3 linked regions of the Diceros bicornis minor genome follow. The protein of the gene in region 3 interacts with the protein of the main gene of each other region in a biochemical or structural test. Links are inferred from orthologs where the notes say so. Each region holds a gene or a part of one and is shown on either strand. Other genes may lie near its edges. The genes, in order: PARD6B, MBP and PRKCZ.

The links.
Region 1: the proteins of PRKCZ (region 3) and PARD6B form a complex in vitro, tested with the Homo sapiens proteins (2 studies listed by BioGRID). The link is inferred for Diceros bicornis minor from reciprocal best matches to the Homo sapiens genes PRKCZ and PARD6B.
Region 2: of the proteins of PRKCZ (region 3) and MBP, one has a biochemical effect on the other in vitro, tested with the Homo sapiens proteins (2 studies listed by BioGRID). The link is inferred for Diceros bicornis minor from reciprocal best matches to the Homo sapiens genes PRKCZ and MBP.

Annotation. Positions count from the first base shown.
Region 1 is NC_080758.1:11,471,231-11,478,487, reverse strand, and holds the start of PARD6B (partitioning defective 6 homolog beta), read left to right. Parts: upstream 1-4,240; 5' UTR 4,241-4,459; coding exon 4,460-4,525; intron 4,526-7,257. UniProt on the Homo sapiens protein: Adapter protein involved in asymmetrical cell division and cell polarization processes. Probably involved in formation of epithelial tight junctions.
Region 2 is NC_080755.1:65,461,226-65,468,699, forward strand, and holds the start of MBP (myelin basic protein), read right to left. Parts: upstream 3,048-7,474; 5' UTR 2,867-3,047; intron 2,424-2,866; exon of another isoform or gene 2,160-2,423; intron 1-2,159. UniProt on the Homo sapiens protein: The classic group of MBP isoforms (isoform 4-isoform 14) are with PLP the most abundant protein components of the myelin membrane in the CNS. They have a role in both its formation and stabilization.
Region 3 is NC_080752.1:22,812,405-22,819,631, forward strand, and holds the start of PRKCZ (protein kinase C zeta type), read left to right. Parts: upstream 1-4,126; 5' UTR 4,127-4,282; coding exon 4,283-4,353; intron 4,354-4,952; exon of another isoform or gene 4,953-5,573; intron 5,574-5,654; exon of another isoform or gene 5,655-6,031; intron 6,032-7,227. UniProt on the Homo sapiens protein: Calcium- and diacylglycerol-independent serine/threonine-protein kinase that functions in phosphatidylinositol 3-kinase (PI3K) pathway and mitogen-activated protein (MAP) kinase cascade, and is involved in NF-kappa-B activation, mitogenic signaling, cell proliferation, cell polarity, inflammatory response and maintenance of long-term potentiation (LTP).

The sequences.
Region 1 (7,257 bases), on a different chromosome or scaffold from region 3:
TTTATCACACATTTCTGTTTTCTTTCAAGGAATTTCTTGAAATTCTACCAAAGGCTTTGGTAGGCAATATTATTTGCTAAATAATAACCACTAACATTCGCACCACGCTTGATGGATTGCAGAGAAGTGTCACGTATAGTTTCTCATCTGATCCCTGCAACAACGCCATGAGGTGGTCAGTACCATCTGATTTTATAGACGAGGAATCTGAGGCTCTGAGTGGTTAAAGGAACAGGGTCAAGGTCACGTAGCCAGCAAGGAGCAGAGCCAGGGCTCAAATTAATATCTATCACCTAAAAAAATACCAAGATCTGAGTGCCTTCAAATTTAAACCTCTTTCATGTTACTTAAAAGTAAATAAAATAATCCACGGGAAAGCACAGAGCACAGTTCCTGGCACCAGGTCAGACCCTCATAAATGTTAGTTAGTTATCATCATTTTCATCAACACCTCCTAGGAACTGGCATATTTCAGCTGATGAGTGCAGCATGTCTGTTGACTCTGATGGAAAGATTACCCTACTCATTCCAGTTCATCCCTGGTAATGTTGAAATGATGATCAATCTCCATTATCCCTGGGGTACCATAGCATGTGAAGAGCTGGAAGGGACTGTGGAGATGATCTCATCCGGTGCCTGCATTTACAGATGGAGACGTTGAATCCCAGAGAGGGCAAAGGTCAAACCCCTCAAGGGCAGGGCTCACGCACAATGCCTGGCACATACTGCCTCCCACGAAGATGAGTTTTTACCTGAAAGGGCATCTAGCTTCTTAAAGGCTCCAGGAGATAATTCTTTAGCACTCCCACCCCACCCCCACACAAAGTACTAACATGTTATAAGCTATTAACCAGAAAATAGATCATGTGACTTAATTCCACCTCTGCAAAAGGGCTTAAAATGCTTTGGTGAGTCGTCTGAGATTCATAAATATACACTTCAGCTCTTTCTCAGAGAATTATTAACCAGCTCCATCAAAAAGGGAACTTGAGCAGTCAAGGAGAAAAAGAGCTGGTAAGAGAAACTTCTTGAAAAAAATCTCACCACTATTATACATGGTTTCTTGCCACCTCTTTCTTTTTTTTTTCCCTAAGAATTGGAGGAGGAAGGAAAAAGTATCATTGTGTAAGACAAGAATCAATAAAAAATAATTGTGGAAAATTACAAACTCTTTCCACTTCGCAAGGTAGATACCGAACAAACACAACAGTTGTGTTACGTCGTAGAAGAATGTAAAGACAGAAAGTATTGAACGGGAAGATAAAGCAGAAATGTCACCCAGACTAGCTTCTTTCAGAGGGTAGAGATGGGCCAGAGAGATCTGACAGTGTGTGGGTGTAATAATCAGTGGCAGCCCATTCCCAACTAATGAGTTTGTGAACCTATAATTTATAGAGTCCATGTCACACACTCACCTTACTCATCCCCCTAACTCACTGAGTATGAATCCTCCCAGGCACGGGACTAGCTTTTCATCCCACACGTAGGTCCTGATCAGCTTTAACTTGAGGATTTGGGGGTGGGGAGGGGTGATGGAGAGAAATGAGATTAGGGTTCAGTCTTCAAACCAAAGAAAGAGGAAGATAAACTCCTCTATGCCATTTCTCCAGGCTTCATGCTTCTCAAGAAAGGCTGAAATTCAGGCCCCGCGAGCAAACTTGTGGCCATAACAGCTCTTGGGATGAAAGGGTTCCCCTCCTCCACAACACCTTTATCAAATTCAAGCTATTTTCCACATTCCTGCCTTACACAACCCAGGCGCACTTGTGACGCAGGCCGAAGAGCAAATTCCGCTCAGGAGATCCAGGAAGCTCTGGTCTGGCCCTCCCTTCTAGAAAGGAAAGTCCAAGTAAAGAGGGATGCCACACCCGGGGGAGGGGAGAGAGGACGTGACAATACCTCCAGGAATGCAGGGCCCACACAGGTGCGCTGGCACCCACGAACTTCCTTTTGAAAAGGGCCTGATAAATCAGTACGGATAACAGTAATAAAGCTCAACCCAACAATCGCTCACATAGAACTGGGGCCCTCGCTCCCAGGGTGTGGCCCCAGCAACTGGAGAGAGGAGGGTGGCAGTGGAGAATACAGATCCCTAAAAGTGGTGACATGGTTCTAGGGAGCGGTTCTCAAAGTGCGGTCCCTGAGGCCTTTTCAGGGGATTCTCAGAGCCAAAACTATTTTCACAATACTAAGATGTCACTTGCTCTCCTGACCCTCATTGTCTCACAGGTATATGATGGAGTTTTCCAGAAGGGACATGATATGTGATATCATCACCCTGATGACTACAGGAATGTGTGCTTGTATATTCTTGTGTTTTACAAATTTTTCAGTTTTAATTCTAATACGATGCATACTGAAAGACATAACACACATAAACAAAATACTTGGGGGCCCTCCATAATTTTTAAGAGTATCAAGGGGTCTTGAGACCAAACTGTCACGCTCCCCCATCACAGGACCACACTTCATTTCCAGCTCAGCTTGAGTCACCGAGCAGGTGCTTTAAACAGGGGGTGGAGGAGGCAGCCTTATTATTTAGCTTGGGGTGTTATCCCTTCCATCCGTACTTCCACCCAAAACAGCCAGAAACACCATAAATTCTCCCACAAACATTTGGTGAACTGAACCACTCAGGGGGAAAGATGGGTTTCTCACCTTTGAACTCAGGTGGGGCAACGTTAGCACAGAGAAACCACACTCCCTCAGCTCCAGCACCCAGCAAAGGCATATCTGAGTACCTGCTGGGAGTCAGGTACCAGGCTACATGCTGACAGTGAGCAAAGCAGATGTGGCCCTCGCCTTCTCAGAGCTTCCATCCTAGGGCAGAGGTGGATGACTCCTGGAAAACATGGGAAAACTGGGACTTGTCACAAGTGCTGGGAAGGAGGGGTGCGAGGTGTCAGGAGGGACGTGAAGTGGGCAGGAGATGAGGGGAGCAAGGCCCTGAGGACTCAGGTGGAAGGCAGCACCCTAACCAGCTCTTCTTGGCCGTCTGGGATTAGAAACCCCGCCCACACGCCCAGGCCCGGCTACAGGAGGGCTCAACAGCTCTGATGAGCGGTCCCACCGGTGAGCCCTTCTGCAGGGTGGGGGGACTTGCGGGTCTCCTCCTCACCGCCCCAGCACGGCCAGTGCTAAACAGGGTCCCTCTGAGGAGGCACTGGGGCATTTAGAGAGAAAGATTTAGTCTTTTGTTATCAGGGAAACGAAGACAATCCAAAGGCTGTTATTGGTGAGAAACAGCAAATAGCCAAGAAAGGGCTAGAGGAAGGGGAGAAGACTTCAGAAGTTAAAAATAAATAAAAAAGAAGAAAAGAAAAACAGAAAGCCCTGGAGGGCTGGTCTAGGAGAAGTCCTCAGGGAAGGCGGACTTGCGAGGAGCGAGGAGCCATCCCGGGCCTCAGCTCACTTTCCCTCCCTTCCAGCGCCCGCTCGACCCCTTGGGACCTCAGGGACGAGACGGAAGAGTGTCTACGGACAAAACCACGCCAGGAGAGCCCTGAGGTTCTCCCCAGTAACTGCTGCAGGAGCGAGAAAACTGGAATTTTGCAACCACAGTTGCAACCAGACGCCTAAACGACGCAAAGGGGTGGTGGAGGAACATTGTTGCAGGCTGCAACAGCCCTAAGTGGAAAGGGGAGCGGGGGAGGCCGGAACCCACCAGCCCCGCCACGTCCCCGCAACCTGCCAGGCCCCGCGTTCCATCACCCAGCCGGGCGCGAGCTCCCGCCGGGACCCGGGCAACCAGGCGCGCGCCCGCGCGTGCGCACAAGGCCCACCCGCCCCGCTCGCCTCCAGGTGCGCTCGCGCTTCCGGCCGGCCGTCCCCGGGCGGAAACCCCACAGCCCGCGCATGCGCTCTGCTGCTAGGTCGGGGAGGAGGCCCACGGCTTCAGGTGATCCCGCCCCTCCCTCGCAGCGCGGGACCAATCGCGCGGCTGTGGGCGGGATTTTCGCGAAGGCGGCCCGCCCACACGCGGCGCGAGGCGTGTATCGATTGGTTGGCGCCGTGGGCGCAGGTGCGCGCTTCCTATTGGGTGTGGGCGGGGCGCGAGCCGCGGAGGCTTCCGCGCAGGCTGCAGGTGAGCGCGCGCACGCGCCGCGGCTCCCGCCCGGCTCGAGTGCGCGCGCGCGGGCTGGCGGGGGAGGCGGCCGAGAGCGAGGCTGCGGCCCCGTGCCCTCTGCCCCGCCCCCTCCTCCTCCTCCGCCTCCGCCCCCTCATCCTCCGTCGCGGCCGCCGCCGAGGCCCGAGGGAGGGAGCCGCGTCCCCGCCCGCCGCGCCTGCAGTCCGACCCTCGGTCCCGCCGCGCGAGGAGCCAGCCGAGCGGAGCTGTGCGCCGAGACCGAGCCGCGGCCGCCCCGCCGCAGGTGCCTGTGAGACGCGCCCGGGCCGCAGCGCGTCCGCCGCCGGCCGCGCGCTCGCTGCCCGCGCTCCCGCCGGGCGGCCCGGCCTCAGCATGAACCGCGGCCACCGGCCCGGGGCGGGCGGCGGCTGCCTGGGCACCATGGAGGTGAAGAGCAAGGTGCGCGGGGCCCGGGCGGGGCGGGGCGGGCCGGCCGGGGGGCCGGGGAGCTGCCGCGGGGTCGGGGGCGGGGCGGGGCGCGGTGGCGCGGCTCGCAGGCGGCAGATGGTGGATGGTGAACTTGCGGAGAAGGGGCTAGGGAGGGGCCGCGTGTCTGCCCCTGCCCGGGTGCGAAGACCGGCGGAGCGCCTGATCGCGGTCCTGGTCGAGGACGGGAGGAAGGGCCGGGGGTCCGCGAGGGCGGGAGGCTTGGAGCGCGGCGTGCAGCGAAAGGTCGGGGGGGTTCTCCCTCCCGGCCTGTGAGTACGAGGTATTGGAAACACCCGTTCCGCAAGATGTTCCCCCTCTCTGGGGTGCGGGAGTGCATCGAGTGGGTCGCCCAGGGACGGAAAGAGCGCTTTTAAAGTTAGCTTTGCCTCTTGCTGGGGATTTTTCTAGCACTAACTTTGGTATGCATTTAATCTAGAAAATTAACGCTATCGCCTTTCCTTCGAGTAGCACTTTACAGTTTGGGTCTGGATGCTCTTTTCATTCCATCCTGCCACCTTTTCACATCAAGTGTTTTCATTCTAGGCCAGCGGTATGCCAATCTGCTGATAATTACGTCGGTATCTACTGAATTCCTAAATTGCAAGGCTGTCTGAGCAGGAGGATAGTCTGTGGGGATTAGTTCGGGAATGCTTTCCAAAGGGGGTTTTGAACTGGAATTTGAAGGTGATCGGCAGCCACGGGAACATTTTCAGTGAGCATTTCATGAATTGAAGAGCCAGAGGGAGCTTAGATAATCTAGTCTGTTTCTCCAAGAAGACAGAGGCTCAGAAAGGTTATGACTTAGCCAAGCTCTGCTTTTATGATGAAATCTTAAAGCCTTTTTTACAGAGTAACTTTTAGGCGTATAGAATACAAAAGAGAGGACATTGGCTGGGCCCTGAAAACATTTGAAATAGAGTTGGGAAGACCAAAACACATAAAAGAGTAGGAGAAAAGTAAAAGCATATCAGCTTCAAAAAATGGAATATCATTGAATGTGTACTTAGGGAGAATGCAAAATCAAGGAGTGATTTTAAGTGATAGAGTAAAGCTCCCCGCAGCCTGTGGTAGAATGGTTTTTATTATCTGGAATTGATAAGCAAAGTTCTGTAAGTTGCTGAAACTGAGATTATTCCTTCCAGAATATCTACATTCATTTTTAACATCATTTTACAGTGTTGTTTGCAACTTAACTCATGTATCAGGAGAGGCAGTAGTTTCAGAACCCATTCGGTTTAATAAGAATAGAAATGTAATGATAGCAATTTAAGCAATATGCTCTGCCCTGTGTCCTCTGTGGAACTGCCATAGCAAATTGAAGTGACATCGTTGAACTGAGAGATAAGATGACTCAAAATGTATAGAGGTTTTCCCTTAGCAGTGTAGTGGCGGTAGTGGTTCCATGCCCAATAGTTGAGCCTTGTCGTGGCATTTCTGTAATACATTTACTTTGGGCTTGTGGGAGTTGAGGTTAAGAAAAGAAAAACACTTGTGATATTGCGTAATCTTAAAATTCAGTTTGTGGTCCTAATCTTGGTAGTTAAGCCTCTAATTTTTTTATCATAAGAAAACATGAGTAGGGATTTTAGGTGCACTGATTAATACAGTCAAATAGTAATTTATCTCTCAGACTAGGAAACCTTGAGCACTTGGGGACTGGAATTGCAGGCTTTCTGCCCTTCTCTTCTGTCATCTGATCTGTGAATATTTCCCATACTTATGTCTAAACTACATGTTATATATTTGACCTGCCATACTGCGCTTTTAGTGAACCATGTCTTGTAAGAGAATCAAGGCAGTCTGAGAACCTGCACCGAATGAAGTGTGGTCCCACTGTTCTAGCTGTTCATAAATAGGCTCAGTATACGTATTGTTTCTAGGGTGTCTGTGATACCTCACGTTCGAAATATATATTGTTGATACATTTATTTTTAGTGGATTAAATGAAACACTTGTCATCTTGACCATTTGAAATACTTGGTCAGATGTTGGAAACAGTATTTCCCTTTTCACTGCTTTAATGATGTCACAAGCTTTTTACAAAACTGGTGGCTAAGAGATCGTAACCACAACTAGGTGATGTGCAGATTCACATTTCAGAATCTCTTTTTCTTCTGTAGAGAAAACAGTAGTATGAACTTTATTATCTTTGCTCGTGGAAGGGGAGATGGTACAAATAATCAAAGTAATGGATAATGCAGAAGTAACTATAGTTAAATTGTGATACCAGCTACCGTGTCACTTTTCTTTGGTAACTGATTTATCTTGTTTCTCTTGAGTCGGGAGTTCTTAATCAATCATCAAGGTGGTGTCCTTTAAGAACCTTGGAACAGTCTTTGAGCTGTACGTTTCCTAATTATTTTTCCTGGGCAAACAGGATATTCAAATAAAGTTTGCATTTCTACAGTGTACCCACATCTTGGGAGAAGGGTGTCCATACGCATTCTGGGTGGCCAGGACAAACTAGACCAGCCTAAAAAAAGTTGTAAATGGTTTACATAGTGAAGAATTGTTGATTGGGTCTTAATTTGATCTCTCTCTTCCTGTTTTTCTTGATGTAGTGAAAAGTTCTCTTCATCCTCTTGTTGTGCTACAAGAAGCATAACAATTTCTCTTGTTGTTTTTCTGCTAACGTTTGCTAAAGGGCACATCTACGGTGAAGCCATACAGTTTTCCATTGTTTCTATCATAACATTTAAGCA
Region 2 (7,474 bases), on a different chromosome or scaffold from region 3:
GCAGATGTCAGACTTGCCTCGCCACCCCCGATCCCTTGCAGTAAGTCGCTAACACCTATCTCCTCTTGTTCTGTTTCTCTGGTTGAAGCCTGACTGCTACACGTTTAGATGGAGATTTGAAATCTGCTCAGGAGAATGCACTAGCTGCTCATCCAGCATCTCTGCTTAGCGGGAGCATGAGGGTCTCCCTCTATGCTTACTGTTGTGTTAAACCCAGCTCCCAAAGCCCCCAAACTCAGGCCCATTTAAACTTCCTTCAGTAGCTCTAATGGACCAATAGAAGTGTCTTACTGCTTAACAACCACTTAATAAAAATTATGCTAAGTAATTAGAATATTTTCTTTCCTCCTTTACTGATAGCTAAGGAAGTTAAGGAGAGGATGACTAACAGACACACGACAGCACCGTAGAGTCAAATCATTCTGAAGAGGAAGCATATTGTGTTGGGTGTGGTCTCTCATTAGAGGTGGGATTTTAAAAAGAAAAAGAAATGGAAGGCAGCTCTGCAAGTCTGCAAGGTGTCCTATTCACCGAGGCTGGGCAGGGCTGCAACTAGGGGCTGGTGGGAGACTCCTGGAACTGAACTGAACTCCTGGGGTGTCTCTGTGCCTTGGCTTTCTCGTCAGTAAAAACGAGGGTATTTATAGGGTAGTTTTATCAGATGAGGGTATCCTAAGGTAGTCATGACATTTTGTTTTGTTTTGCTGAGGAAAACTGGCCCTGAGCTAACATCTGTGCCCATCTTCCTCTATTTTGTATGTGGAACACCGCCACAGCGTGGCTTGACGAGCGGTGTGTAGGTCCACACCCCAGAATCAGAACCACTGACCCCGGGGCTGCTGAAGGGGAGTGCATGAACTTAACCACTATGCCACCAGGCCAGTCCCGTCTTGACTCTTAATAACGTGGTACAGCTCTCAGAAGAGAGTTCCGCAATTCATAAGGGGTCAATAAATGCTACCTGGATACTTGGATAGAAAAGGCACAGAGGCAGTTGCTAATCTTGTGTCTAATTTTTAAAGAATCTAGAGAGAAACTAAAAATCAAACAGAATAACTTTCAATTAATGTTTAAAAATTCAAGCAGAAATAGAAGTCATAAGAAAGCTTGGTCTCTACTCCTTTTCAGCTTTTAGTAGACACCTTCACTCAGCACAGTCATTGCCAGCATGGACGACACACAAGCCCTGACCTTCAAAACCACGGAGGAGCAACCCAACACCTAAACATGCAACACGGAACATTTCTTAAATTTTCTTATCTTTGGGCAGAGATGTGATACTTTAGAAAGATTTTCAAACCGGATTTGAACCAAATAACTTTTGTTTAACCTCTACTTAATAAAAGTAGTCATTTCAGAACAGTTAAACCCTTGCGAGTTACTATTAACCAACATTTTACAGTAATCTTTAACTGCCTTCTCTCCCTTCAGGTTTTCGTTTATCCCACTTAAAAAAATAAAACCGCCGATGGGCACTTTTCCTTAGCTATTAGGCTACTGGCCTCCCTGCAGGTCATTGTTCACTGAGGGCTGCTCTGTTCCAGGCTCTCGCCAGCTCTGCACACGGGGCCCCAAGGTCTAAAAAGGCCCCCACGTCACGCAGGGGGGGCCTGCCAGCCGGCCTGTGGTGCAGGATTGAGCCGGATTCAGGGTGGTCCCTGACTCGTGGGTGACAGTCTGTAAAGTGTAAAGGGCTTGGCGGGCTACAATCTTCTCCAAACCCACAGGTCTTAAATAGGCAGCACCCTACAGTTCCCTTCCTCTGAAAAACTCTCTTCCTAGCCGGTTGTCCGTGTCCGTTGCCAGAACAGCCAGAGGCCCCCCGGACCACGTTTACAGCCCTCCCAACACATCCCAACTCTCTCACGTGCCTTCCACTGACGCAGAGATAAACTGAACACATGTTGTTGATTCTCACGTTGTCGCAATTGGAAAACAGAGAACCAGGAACCAGAACGCGCTTGTTTCCTGCCAGTCTGACGGAGATCCCCAAAGAAACCGAAATACTTTTCCAAACCCCATTCCGCCTTCCGAAACAGGGGACGCGAGTAGACCCTAAAAGAAATGAGGCGCTGACCACCAGCATCCCACAAGACCAAAGCCAGCCGGGCGTCAGCGGAGTGACAGCGGAACACACGACACCCTCTGGAACAACGAACCCGGCGCGTGGGGCGCAGGAGGGGTCACGGCGCCAGGCGCGCAGATGGCTGCAGGTGGGCCCAGGTGGGTTACAGGAGGCGCAGGTGGCTGCCAGCGGTGCGGCCCGAGCGGGACAGGCCCTGCCAAGGCGGAAGCCAGGCGAGTCGCCTGTCGCCGCCCTCGTCGCTCAAAGGGAAATTGTGCTTCGTCTGGGGCTGGGGAGGCGGGGTCGTCCGCTGGGCTCCAGGCGGGGAATTAGGAAGCACTTCACGCTGGTGGGCACCCCGGCCCACCCGTCGGCTCGCCCCTAGCCCCGTCTCCGCACCGCCCAGAGCGGCCTCTTTGACCTGTGTCACCTCCCACCCCGAAACCCCACCTCTAGGCCGCCCGCTCTTCCCGCCACCCCGGTCGCCCGGCCCGGCCAGAGACCACACCTGGAAATCCGTCGGGTTCCAGCCCCGCCGCCATAGACTGGCGTCTACACCCGCGCCCACTCCCTCGCAGGGAGGCCATGGGGCTGCCACCTGCCTCTCCACCTGCGCCGCTGCCCGGGGGAGCCCCGCGCGCCCTGGCCCGGGAAAGCCCCGAGTCCGGCGCAGGGAAAGAGCCCCCGGCGTCCGCCCCCTCTAGCCCCGCGTCCCGGGCTCCGGGTCCCCGCGGTCCCCCGCTCTGAGGACGCGGAGACAAAGCGCCGCGCCGCCCCCCGCCCCCGGCGAGGATAACCCACCGCACTGCGCTCGCTGCTTCCAGGCCGATGGGCGCCTCGGGGTCCCAGGCCGCCTCTCCGCCGCCCAGGCCCCAAGCGCGGGCAGCGCGGGGTCCCGGGGCCGCCGGCACTGCCTTCCGGGGTAGGAGACGCGGGCCGCCAGGGCCGGAGGCTCGTCCTCGCTGCGCGCGGCGGCGGTGACTGACTGCTGCTGCTCCCGGGCCGGGCGTGCACCCCGCCCCGTCTCCGCCCCTCCCCCGCCTCCCGGGCTCCAGCCAGCCAGGTAAACACCGCGGACTCGAGCGGAGCCCGGCCCACCTGCCGCCCCCGGCCGGCGCTGCCTGCGGGCTGGGGACCACTTGCGGGACGGCCTTGCCACGCGGAGCTCCGGGGACACGCGGGGACCGGGGCGCAGGGTCAGCCCTGGGAGGGCGGGGCCGGAGTGGGGCCGCCGCTGAACTGCTCTTTGAACCTTTTCTCGTGGCTTAGCCTCTGAAACTACCCCCGCCCGACCTGGCCGGGAGGGACGGGAGATAGCATCTCCTCCACGCCCCATTCCATAGGCAGGCGCCCGAGGGCCAGAGCGCGGGCTCCGACTGCCCGGTCAGTGCCGCGTCTCTAGTGCTCGCCCTGTGCCAGGCCGGGCCCTGGAGAGCACCCGGGCATTCGCCTTGCAGGGTCCCAGCACCCTGACAAGTGCTGCGCCGGAGAGCACAGGTTTCCACGAAGAAGGCGGGAGAAGAGCGCTGGTAAAACAGACCAAAACAGGCACAGTCGGAGGGGCGAACCTGGGTCCTGAGGCGCCGAGGCATCTATTGGCTTGTGGTCGGTGTCATCCTCTTGGTCCGTTTGTCACTTGGACACACAGATCTGGTGGAGTCAGAGGGCCCTTTCCCCTGGATTCTTGGCTTCCTCCTGATGGTGAGAAAGTAGGAGGAAGGGGGAGAGACGCCGCCTGAGACCCTAGCTCCCTCCTGACTTAGATTCTGGGTTAGGGAATTGAACGATACTTCCTAGAAGCCCTCGGGGCCCCACACGGTGTTTATGACGGAGAGGGGAAGTCTGGAGCTTGGCAAGACTCAGGGAGCCCCTGTCCCTTGGGCCAGCTCTGCGGGGGACAGTAGAGCCGACTCCTAGTGTGGTTTCAGGGCTGCCTGCCCAGACCAGCCGCCCTCACAGCCCCGGGGATTTATCAACTATGTTCAGATGCTGGTGATTCTGTGAGAAATATGTCCACAGTAATATGAACGCGTAATCTGATCGTTTCCTGAGAGAAGTGGCCAGAGGAGAAACCGTGGGCGTTCCCGGAGTTTGAGGTGGGAGGTCAGGAGGGGCAGGGAAAAAGGGGTGTTGGCTGTGCGGAACATCGAGTTTGTCTCCTTCCCAATGTTTCTGCCCCGTGCCTTCACACTGACGTTCAGGAATGGATAACCGGGGGAGTGAGGGAGCCTGACAGACACTGAGGGCGCACAGGGCAGTGAGTCTAACTGGGGAAGCTCCTAGGTCCCTGGCTCAAGTCATTCTTAAGCCCCGCCCCCAACTCCTTAAAGCTCAGGCCAGGGGACCCAGGACCTGGGTTCCATTTGGATTCCAGTTTGGGCATCACAGACAGCTTGTCCTCTCCCCAGATGTGTCTTTGCTTCTTCCTGGGGAGATGGGGATGCCGAGGAGACTGGGGTTCCTGACTTGCAGATGTCGGTGAAGGCTGAGGCTGGAGAGGCGCACAGACCACTCTGAAACAGCATCCTTTGTTCTTCTGCTTCATGCTGCTTCTGCTGATTTCTCTGTGGTTTATAGAGACTTTACACATACCAACAGTCATCTCTGCAAATGTCAGGCTTGCCAGCTCCAGTTAAAACTCTTTTAAGTATTTGTAAAATTCCACCATGCATATTTTGTGGGGATATAATGCCCCCACATTCATGGGTACTTCAAGGAAAATGTCTGTGAGGGAGGAAGGACCACTGCTTAATAGAGCGATGGATGGGCATTTGGGAGGTCCAGTCTTAGCACCTTCCCCTCTGGCCCACCAGGGAGAGGAGCCTAGGTGGAGGAGGCATACATAGGCCGGCACATCACCATGGGGAGTTGCACTTTGCATAAAGATGGCCCTGTGTCTTTTAGCAAAATGACAGATTCATTTTGCTGAATGAAACTGAAGGGAGTCTTTTGACAAGTAAAGGATGAATGATCCAGGCCTCATCGTCTCTTCGATATTTTTAGGAAAATCATATTGCAAATTCCCTCTACCTCTCATTCACTTCAGATATTGAGGGAAGGAACCTTCAGTCTTTCATACTGCAGCAAATAACACAATGTTTTGTGCATGATATACACTCAGTAAATTTTTATTAAGTCGAATTAAACTCCAAATTACCCAAACTAAAGGAAGTAAGTAAATTAATGTAAATAATTTCCAGTAGACCAGATTGCATGCGTTTTGAGTTTTCTTTACTTTCCCCATCAACAGATTTACCTTTGTAATTATATTTTTGCTTAGAAAAGACCTGAACTTCATTTTCATCCTGGTCTGTAATTAACAATTTGCTGGTGATGTTCGTAAAGCAGATAATCTACCTGTACAGGGTTGAGGGCTGACTACTTCACCATAAATTCCAGTTAATAACTGGATGGCCTCTGCTGTGGTCAGTGGAAGAAAATTAGGTGCACGAACTCCAGAAAATGCAACATAGAAAAAAAAGCCGTTATATGAACAAGGAAAACACTTGAGGGCTCAGCCACACACGCCTGCACAACCAGACACCCACAAACACACACAACTATGTGTCCATTCACATATACACACAACCGCACACACATTCACACACAACCACAACCACACACACGTTCACATACACACATGCACACAACAAGAAACACACTCACAAAAAGCCATTTGTTACTTCACCTCTGGTGAAACATCAGGACAAAAAGAAAGAAAAGGAAATTTGTAGGTCTCTGGTTATGTGGGAAAAAACAAAAAAATCTTTCATACATTTTTCTACCATCAACTTCTTGTATTTTTAAACTGTTTTATAAAGTGTGTGTGTATATACTGTATATATATTTTTCTTTAACCATAGTTCTATAGTTTTGTTAATAAAAATAAAAGCAAACTGCTATCCATAGAGATTAAAGTTGTTCTTAGTGAGCTACAGATATATATTAGCGATTCTCTGTATTTGAGAAGGAAATCTATGTATTTCAATAGATATCATACTTGGTAGTTAACTACCATTCTAATTGCTTCTAGAATTTCTGTATTTTTCAGTAAGATCCCTAACTACGTATGGGTTACTTTTCAATATACCTGTTAATTTCTTAGGGCTCACTGCACTGGCGAGTAGATACCATAAGATGGAGTTAGTTGGCAATTGTATTTTCCAGAGATGGCCTGACACCAACTCCAGTCCCACATATTCTCCTTCCTTTGTGACTGTGACTCATGGCATGGAGAAGTGGGGTCCGTGTCCCCTCCCTGTGAGCCTGGGTGAACCTTGTGACTGCCTCCACTAACAGAGTCAGGCTCTGGACTTCTGAGGCTGGATCATGACAATGCCCTGGAGTTCCCCTTTTCTCTCTTGAGCCTTTCGCTCTTGGAACCCAGCCACCGTCCTTTGAGGAAGCCCAGGCAGCCACCTGGAGCGACCACCTGCGTGTGCTCTTGCTGACAGCCCAGGGGAGGCGCACGCTGACAAATCTTCAGACACACTTCTGTCCCCGTCCCCCTCGGCCCCTGAGTCTTCCCAGCTGAGCTCCCAGCCTCACGGAGCAGGAAGGCGCATCCGCTCCGTGCACTTTCCAAATTCCTGATCCCCAGAATCCAGGAGCATAACAAAATGGCTGTTGCTTTACTCCACTAGGTTTGGGATGCTTTGTTATGCCTCAGTGGTAGCTGGAAGGTCGGTTAGAATGATAAATGGAAGGATGGGGATCAGGAAATGTCGAGAGTGTGGACGCCACAGCCCAGGCCCCAATTTATTACACTCTTTGTAAATAACCATGATTCCACTTCCAGAGAAGAAAGTATTTTATTAACTGACGATTTCATGTATCAAGCATTTCGTTCATTCATTCACTCATTTATTTATTCAGAACTATTTATTCAGCAATTAAATAAGGTGCATCCTTAGAGCCAGATGAAGAAGGAGAGTGGTGAGCCAGCTGAGCACCGTGGAAGGGCAGCCACGTGAGGGGGCGGTGGTGAGACATGGGTCTGGGAAGGCTTTCTGAAGGGAGGGTTTTGATGGATGGGTAGGAGTTAGCCAGATGAAGGGGGTAAGGGAAGAGTAGCCAGCAAACAGGACGACACGTGCGAAGGAGGTGCTTGTGTGAGAGGAGACAGGTGGGGCCGCAGGTGAGAGCCACCGCCAAGTCCTATGGAGGGAAAACACAAAGTGACCATCAAATCCAAGGTTTGCCCACCACGGGGCGCCTGTTGTGAGGCGAGGCGGCTTGTGTGTCTGCACCTCTGTTCTCTACATGGTCCTCTCTCCTTCCTGCCCACACACCCGATCTGCCTTCCTCCACCAGGCGTACGTTTTCTGCAGTTTACCTGAAGTGGTGAAGAAACTTCGTTTCTGTTGAGAACAACTCACTGTTATGGGTTGAGTTGTGTCCCCAGAAAGC
Region 3 (7,227 bases):
AGGGCGAGGGTCCTTGGCCCAAAGCCAGGCAGCCCACCTCTGCCCTCTGCTGGCTGGCCACCCTCCTCCCCCGACCAGCCCCACACCTGGGGGCCACCCTGCACCTCCGTCTGCCCTCGGGTCCCAGGTGACAAGAGAGGGACAAGAAGGCTTCGACATGCATGTCCCCCACCCGACTGGATTTGTCAGGCGTTGGGGGCACAGGTCAGGAGGGCTTCTCTCTCTACACTGTTCCCTGTTGTAAAGTTTTACAAAAGCCCATGTCACTTTTATAACCAGTTAAAACAACAACACACCGTTGTATTTTTTCACTACAGAAAGAAGAGGTGTTGGTGATTATGAGTGTATGAGGTCTTGGCGAACATTTGGGAAGACAGAACCTGCAGAGAGGTGAAAAAGACCCACCCTCAGGTCTGGCCCCCGGCACGCGCCTGGGCCCAAGGGTCACCTCCAGGTCCTCCCATTGGCCATTACGCCTCTGCACACTGCAGACAGGGAGAGGCAGCAACCCTGCCCTGTGACCCCAGGACAGGGCCCAAGGTCCTAGGGGCCCACGTGGTCCCAGCCCTTCTAAGAGGTCTCCACCTGTTCATTCACTCCTCGTGTGCCACACGCCTGCAGACGCAGAGGGGACACAGCAGTGGCCCAGGCTGATGGGGTCCCAACTCCAGCCATGTCCAGAGGGGGAAGTGGTCGGCGAATTTGGGAATAAACACCCTGCTCTGGTTGCCAGGGTGCAGGGCACGCAGTGGACACAGCAACGCCGGGCCAGGCGTGGCTGCCTGTCCCTCAGGACCAGCCCTCTGCCCTCTGCTCCGCGGGAGTGGCTCAGCACTGGTGGCGGCCAGGAACTCCCCCTCCCCCCACAGTGATCCACCCCTGCCCTCCGGAGGCAGGCGCTGGCCTGGGCTGCCAGCGGGATGGGGGCTGTTGTTTTGCAGAGCTTGTTGAGAATACAAAAGGGGGGCTCCACCCTGTGAGGGAGGCCTCAGGAAGCTTTCTGGGCAATGCAGGCGACCCATATGCCCTCACCCTGGCCTGGGACTGGATGTGGTCCAAGACTGGGGTGTGAACCCCCTCTCCTGGAATAGGCCCCTCCCCCTCCCCCAGGCTGAGGGGCCTGGCACAGGGGGAGCTGTGTCCCACACACTCACCTGCCTTCGGGGTTTCTGCTCACGTGGCTCAGGGTTTCCTGCCCTTCCCCGTGAGCACCGGGCTGCTCCCCTCCCATGGCAAACCCTCGGTCCCCTTCCCTTCATGCCCAAATGACAGCCACAGAGCTCTGCGTGCCCATGCCGGGGGCATGGAGTCGTCACCCCGCGAGGTGGGGGTTGGGGAGCAGACTGCTAATATAGGCTTGAGGGATGTTAAGTAGAGATTCAAAGGAAGTGTGGGTCTGGGGAAGGTGCTCCTAGGAGAGGGAACAGCGTGTGCAAAGGCCCTGAAGCAAAGAGAGCCAGGTGGCTAGAGTGGAGTGAGCCAGGATGAGGATGGTGGGAGATGAGGGCAGAAAAGCTTGGGGTCCCAGATCCTGTAGGGCCTGTGGGCTTTTCCTGAGAATGATAGGAATCATCGGGGGTTTTGAAAACCAGACAGATGGACATGGACTGACTTATGTTCTAAGAAAATTGGAGGCTGCTGCAAAAATCCCAGCACAGAGGAGAGGGTGTGGCTGGAACCAGGTGGTAGCAATGGAGGTGGTGGGATGTGGTTGGAATCCGGAAATATGTTGAAGGTGGAGCCGCCAGGATTTGCAGGTGGAGAGGTGTGGGGTGTAAGAGGGAGAGGAGGCAAAGGTGACTCCGAGGTTTCAAGCTGAGCCCCTGGGAAGGGGGGGTCTGCACCGACTGGATGGAGAAGAGCACAGCTGAGGGGGGTTGTTAGCATGACAGTTTGAGTGTGTGTGGTGGGGGAAGCAGGCTCCCAAGTTCAGGGAGCGATCTGAGCTTGGGATGGTGTTTGGAGCCCTAAGAGGAAATGAGAAGCTCAAGGTCCTGAGACTCGCTAAAGACTGAGGGGGGTGGCGGGATGGGACACAGAGGACCAGATGGGGGGGGCCGCATTAAAGGCTGGGAGACCAGGAGGAGGCCATAGAGGGAGCTGGAGGAGGAGAAGGGAGAGAGCAGCATCCTAAGGTGAGAGTTTCCAGGGGACACACTGACAAGGGTCAATTAGGACAAAGCCTGAGAAATGGCCATTATACTTAAAACACAGGAGCTGGCGGTGAAAGTGGGGGGAGGAGGGGTTAAGCGGCAGGAGAGAGAAAGTGGAGCTAAGGGCTGCGGACAGCTCCTGGCAGGAGTTTCATTGTAGAGGAGCAGAGGAATGGGCGGGTGGATGGAGGGCTGGATGGTGCAGAGGTTTTTTTCCTCCCCAAAGCCCCGGTACATAGTTGTATATTCTAGTTGGAGGTCCTTCTACTTCTGTCTGAGCCACCACCACAGCTTGGCTACTGACAGACGAGCGTGTGGTTCCACGCCCAGGAAGCCAAACCTGGGCAGAACTTTAACCCTAGGCCATCAGGGCTGGCTCCAGAGGTTCCTTTATGGGGGAGAGTGCACAGCACTTTAAGTAGGTGAGAGGTAGGCTGTCGACAGGTTTCTCTGGGTCCATCTCTAGGAAGAATATGGTTCTATGAGCAGAGGGACTGTGTCCATTTGGTTCCCCAGGGTCATTCCAGTGCCTGGCACCAAGGACGCACCAGGAAGCATCTGTGGAATGAACGAGTGTGTGAATGGGGGGAGTGAGTGGTGAAGGCTTGGCTGGGACTGGAGTCTGGGTCAGAGGTTGCCAACCGGGTGGGGTGGGGAAGGGGAGGGAGGCAGCAGGGGAGAGGCTGACAGGAAGACTGTGTTTGGCAGGGGTGGCAGGGATGAGGGGCTGCAGACCTCTGAGTCTGCCGTGCCCAACTAGTGCCCAGCTGAGGTCCTGCAAACAGCAGATTTGGGTCCCTGTGGACGCAACCAGTAAGGAATGGGTTCCTGAGGGAAGCTCGAGCCCACATTTAAGGGGAACGGGCCCAGGACGCAGGCACCTGAGCAGGTGGTGTGGGGTGTGGATGGTGTCAAAGGTGACTGTCCAGGTCAAATGCCACGGAGTTAGTAAGACCCAGAGAGGCTGTGGATTCAGAAATGAAAGTCATGGGCGGCCTGGGCAAATGCAGTCTTCTTGTCCTGGGCAGAGGAGTGTACTGGAGCAGAGGGAGCCGGCTAGCGAGTGTAGACGAGCCTTTCCTGCAATGGGATCTTGGATTCCGCACGGGAACGAGGGCGGGTGGGTCGGGGGAACCAGCTGAGCCCGGACCTCCCCGGCCGTGACGCTGGCCGGCTTCTCTGCTCCTCGCAGCCTCCGTCTCCGCATCTGGAAGCTGGCCGGACGCTGGGTACGCGGTCCAAGCGTCCTTTGCAGTCGGGGGTCTGAGCTGCTGGCTGCACGCGTGCTCTCAGGAGGCGGAGCTCCCTCTGGCCGCGCCCCCCGCCCTCACGTCACCGGCGACCCCTCCCCGCTGTCCCCTAGATCAGCGGCTCTCAGACTCGCCCTCGCCCCAGAGGTTACCCGGGCTTGTTCGCAGACTGCTGGAGTTTTGATTCAGCGAGTCGGACTGGGCCGAGAGCTGGCATTCCCAACAAGTTCCCGGGGTGCGGCAGCGCAGGGGCCCTCCCCAGGAACCGCAGCCCCGCAGCCCACCTCACGGAGGGGCCAGCGTGCAGGGCGGGCGGGGGGCGCCGGACGGTCCCGGTGTCCCCGGGCCGCACGCACTGGCTTCGGTTGCCGGGCAGAGCTGGGCCGCGCGAGCTCCCATTGGCCGCAGGTGGGCCGCGCCCCGCCCGACAGGTAGTCCGCCCAGCGCCACGCCATTGGGCCTTGGACGCGGGGTCCCCCGGGGATTGGCCCAGGTGGCGGCCCCGCCTCACCCTCATTGGCCGCAGGTGCCACCGCCCCCGCCCCAGGACCGCCCGCCCCGCCGATTGGCCGCCGGCTGTGCCTCGGGTCGGCCATGTTCGGACACCCCCGCCCCCAGCGGGGCCTGGCGCCGGGACTCCGTGCGCGTCCCCCGCGCGCGCCCTCGCCGGCCGCGCCCCCGCCCCGCCCCGCCCCGCCCCGCCCGCCGCCCAAGTTCCGCGGAGTTGGCCGGAGCGGCGCCCCTCGGTCCCTGCGCCGTGCGCTCCCTTCCGCGTTCCGCCGCCGGCCCCACCTGGCGCCCCGGCCCGGCCTCTGGGGGCCCCGCGCCATGGCCCGAGCGCCCGGGGCGCAGCGCTGACGGCGGCCGGCGGAGCGCGCCATGCCCAGCAGGACGGGCCCCAAGATGGACGGGAGCGGCGGCCGCGTCCGCCTGAAGGCGCACTACAACGGGTGAGCGCGCAGCGCCCGACGGCGGGGCCCTGCCGGGGCCGGGGGCGTGTGTACTGAGGCCGGCGGGGCCGGGGGCAGAGCGGGACGCGGGGAGCAGCTCCGGACCGCGCCGACCGTCGGGGACCGTGTCACCGCAGCTGCGGGAGGGAGGGGACAGCGAGGCCCCTCTGGGCCCAGGGGCGCCCCGGGAGGTCCTGACGCACCAGCGCCGAGAGGCAGCTCCAGGCGAGGCGGGAGCTGCGGGTGCTGCGGGCGCCCTTGAACGTCACCCGCGGGAAACCTCATGGGCAGAGCGGGGTCAGCCTGGTCCCCGGCGCCCAAGGCTCAGGGTCGCCGGGCCCTTCCTGGAGCGCAGCGGGCGCAGGTGGCCACGCGGGTTTTCCCCCGTCGTGGCGAGGTGGCGCTCGGACTTGCCCCGACGTCGCCGCGCGCCCCATAGCCCTGGGGACAATGTTGACATTTTCCCTGGAAAGTTGGCCAGGATGTTTAAGGCCACAAACCTGTAAGGACTAAAGTTTTTATCAAATTGTGAAAACTGCTGGCAGACTTTTAAAAATCGGAGTTTCTAAACTTTTCCCCAATTTACCCGGCCAGAGGTCTCAGTTTAAGAAAAGTTTAATGACCGAGGTGAAGGCCAGGTGCGGTGAGCTGCCCGTGGTCGCACGAATGGAGGGCGCCTGGAAAGGCTCCCGCGCGGTTCCGTTGGGGGCCGGACCTTTCGGACTCGGTCCTGCGTACGCGCACGGCGCCCTGGACTCGACCTGTCTTGCTGTGAAATGGGGCGAGCGGGCGCCTCACAAGGGTCAATGGCCGGGAGCGTCTGGCCCGGCCCCGGGAGCGCTGGACGCTTGGCCGCCACCGAACAGCACTAGTGAGAGTTTAGGGGGCTGCGCCCGGAGGCCAAGATCCCGCTGCCCACCTTGAGCAGTGCAGACGGCGCTGGAGGGAGAACCAGGCGCCTTTGCTGCTGCTTCTTTCCACCGGTGTTCGTCTCCAGTCGGTCGCCACTGCTGGGGCGGCGGGAGGGGAGCGGAACGCCAGCCCTGCGTGTGAACTTGGCGGTCTCGGCTCTAGCGGCATTCCATGGGGTCTTGCCAGAGCCCGGCGCGTCCTCCGACCTGAGGAGGAGGGGCTTCGGGCTTTTGACCTCGGGAGCGCGCCTGGTTTGGTGTCTCAGGTCAGGCCTCTTCCGTCTCCTCTGCCGTCCTCAGCCGGGTCACCTGGGTGCACAGTGGGGGAGGGGAGTTGGTGGCAGAACCGGAGGGAAGAAAGATTTCTGGGAGACAGACCGGCCAGCCCACCTGAAGAGGCGGGGAGTCCTATCTTCTGGCCGAGAAGGGTGGGCTGCCCACTAAATCTGGTGAGATGTCAGCTCGGTCCTGGTTCTGGGACTCGTCCAGGGGCCAGAGCATCTTGGCTTGTGCAGGGGTGAACTCTGGAAGGCGTCACTATATCAGAGACACTGTCCTCTTTCCTGCCGGGAACCTGGAATTGAGCAACACGCCACTGTAAAAATCAGAGTTGATCCTTAATGAGAGGAAGTCCACACCCGGAGCCACCCGGGTGGGTGGGGACTGGACCCCCCAGCCTTTCCCCAGGGCGAGTTCAAGTAGGCACCTCCAGGCACTGAGCAAGGGGATGGAGGTGACCGAGGGGGTCACAGGCAAAGTTCACTGGAGCCCGGGGGAGTTCTGGGCTGAGCCACCCGCCCACCCACCCCTCCCCTGGCTTTGGCCCCTGGAGAGCGCTCTGGTTACCAGGGGTAATGTGACCTGTTGAGTCTGGTTTCCCCAGGCTGATGAGGCCACGCCCCCACACTCTTTCCTCTTCCTTGCATTCCCATCTCTACTCCGTCCTCCCCTGCCCCTCCCCCTCCCCTTCCACTTCTCCCCTTCCCCTTCCCTCCTCCCTCCTCCCCTCCTCCCTCTCTCCCCACCTCTTCCCCTCCTCTCTTTGCTTCATTTCCCTCCCCTTCTCTCTCTTTCCCCACTCCTCTTCAGCCCCTCTCCTCCTTCTCCTCTCCCTCCCACACCCTTCCTGCTTTCTGCCCCAGGCTGAGCTGAAGGTTCCTTCCCATTCCCATCTCCTCACTCCCTCCAGTGCCTGCTTTTCCTAAAGTGCTCTGCCCCGGTGCCCCTCCCTGAGGACTGGAAACCCCGCTGTCTGAGCTGGGAGACCTAGTCCTCAGAGCACAGCAGTGACCCTGGGCCCGAAAGACGCCCACCAAGATCGGGGCTCATTTATGCAGACCCCGCGGGTCCACGTGACATTCTGTCTGCTGCTGCCGCGGGAGGGAGGGCATTTTTGGGCAGCACGGCCAGGAGCTGAGGGTCAGACACGTTGAAAACTCTTCTTGAAACTGGAAGGGTCTTCAGCCGCCCCCACAGTGATAGCTTCTCCTCGCCACCCTTGCCCGTCCCCTGAGGCGCTCTGAAGGCTTGAGACCAGGGTCTCCCTGCCCCCAGCTGGGCTTCCGGAGGGTGTGCCGTCCCCGAGTCTGGGTGGGGTCCTGGGTACCTGCGTTCTCAGGGGACTCCAGCTGATGTGCTGAGTTTGCAGACCTTCTCTGCCCGCTTGTCTAAGATCACAGCAACAGCTGTGCTGGACCCTCCCTCTCTCCAGCTCAAGCTTGTGTTCCAGAACTTCTGTTCCAGAACCTGCTATGTGCAAAGCCCAGGGGTGGGTACTGCGGCCGGAGGGAGACCCAGGAGTCCAGGGAGGGGCAGCCCACCAGGTTGTTGGGTGCAGACTCCTGGTGGCTGCTGCCCAGGGCTCTGACTTGGGGCCCTGAGCTGGTGGCCTCCACAGCTCCTGTTTGCTCAGAGGAGCTGCTTGATTCAGGAGTGGGCTGACATTGGGGCTGGTGGTCAGGGT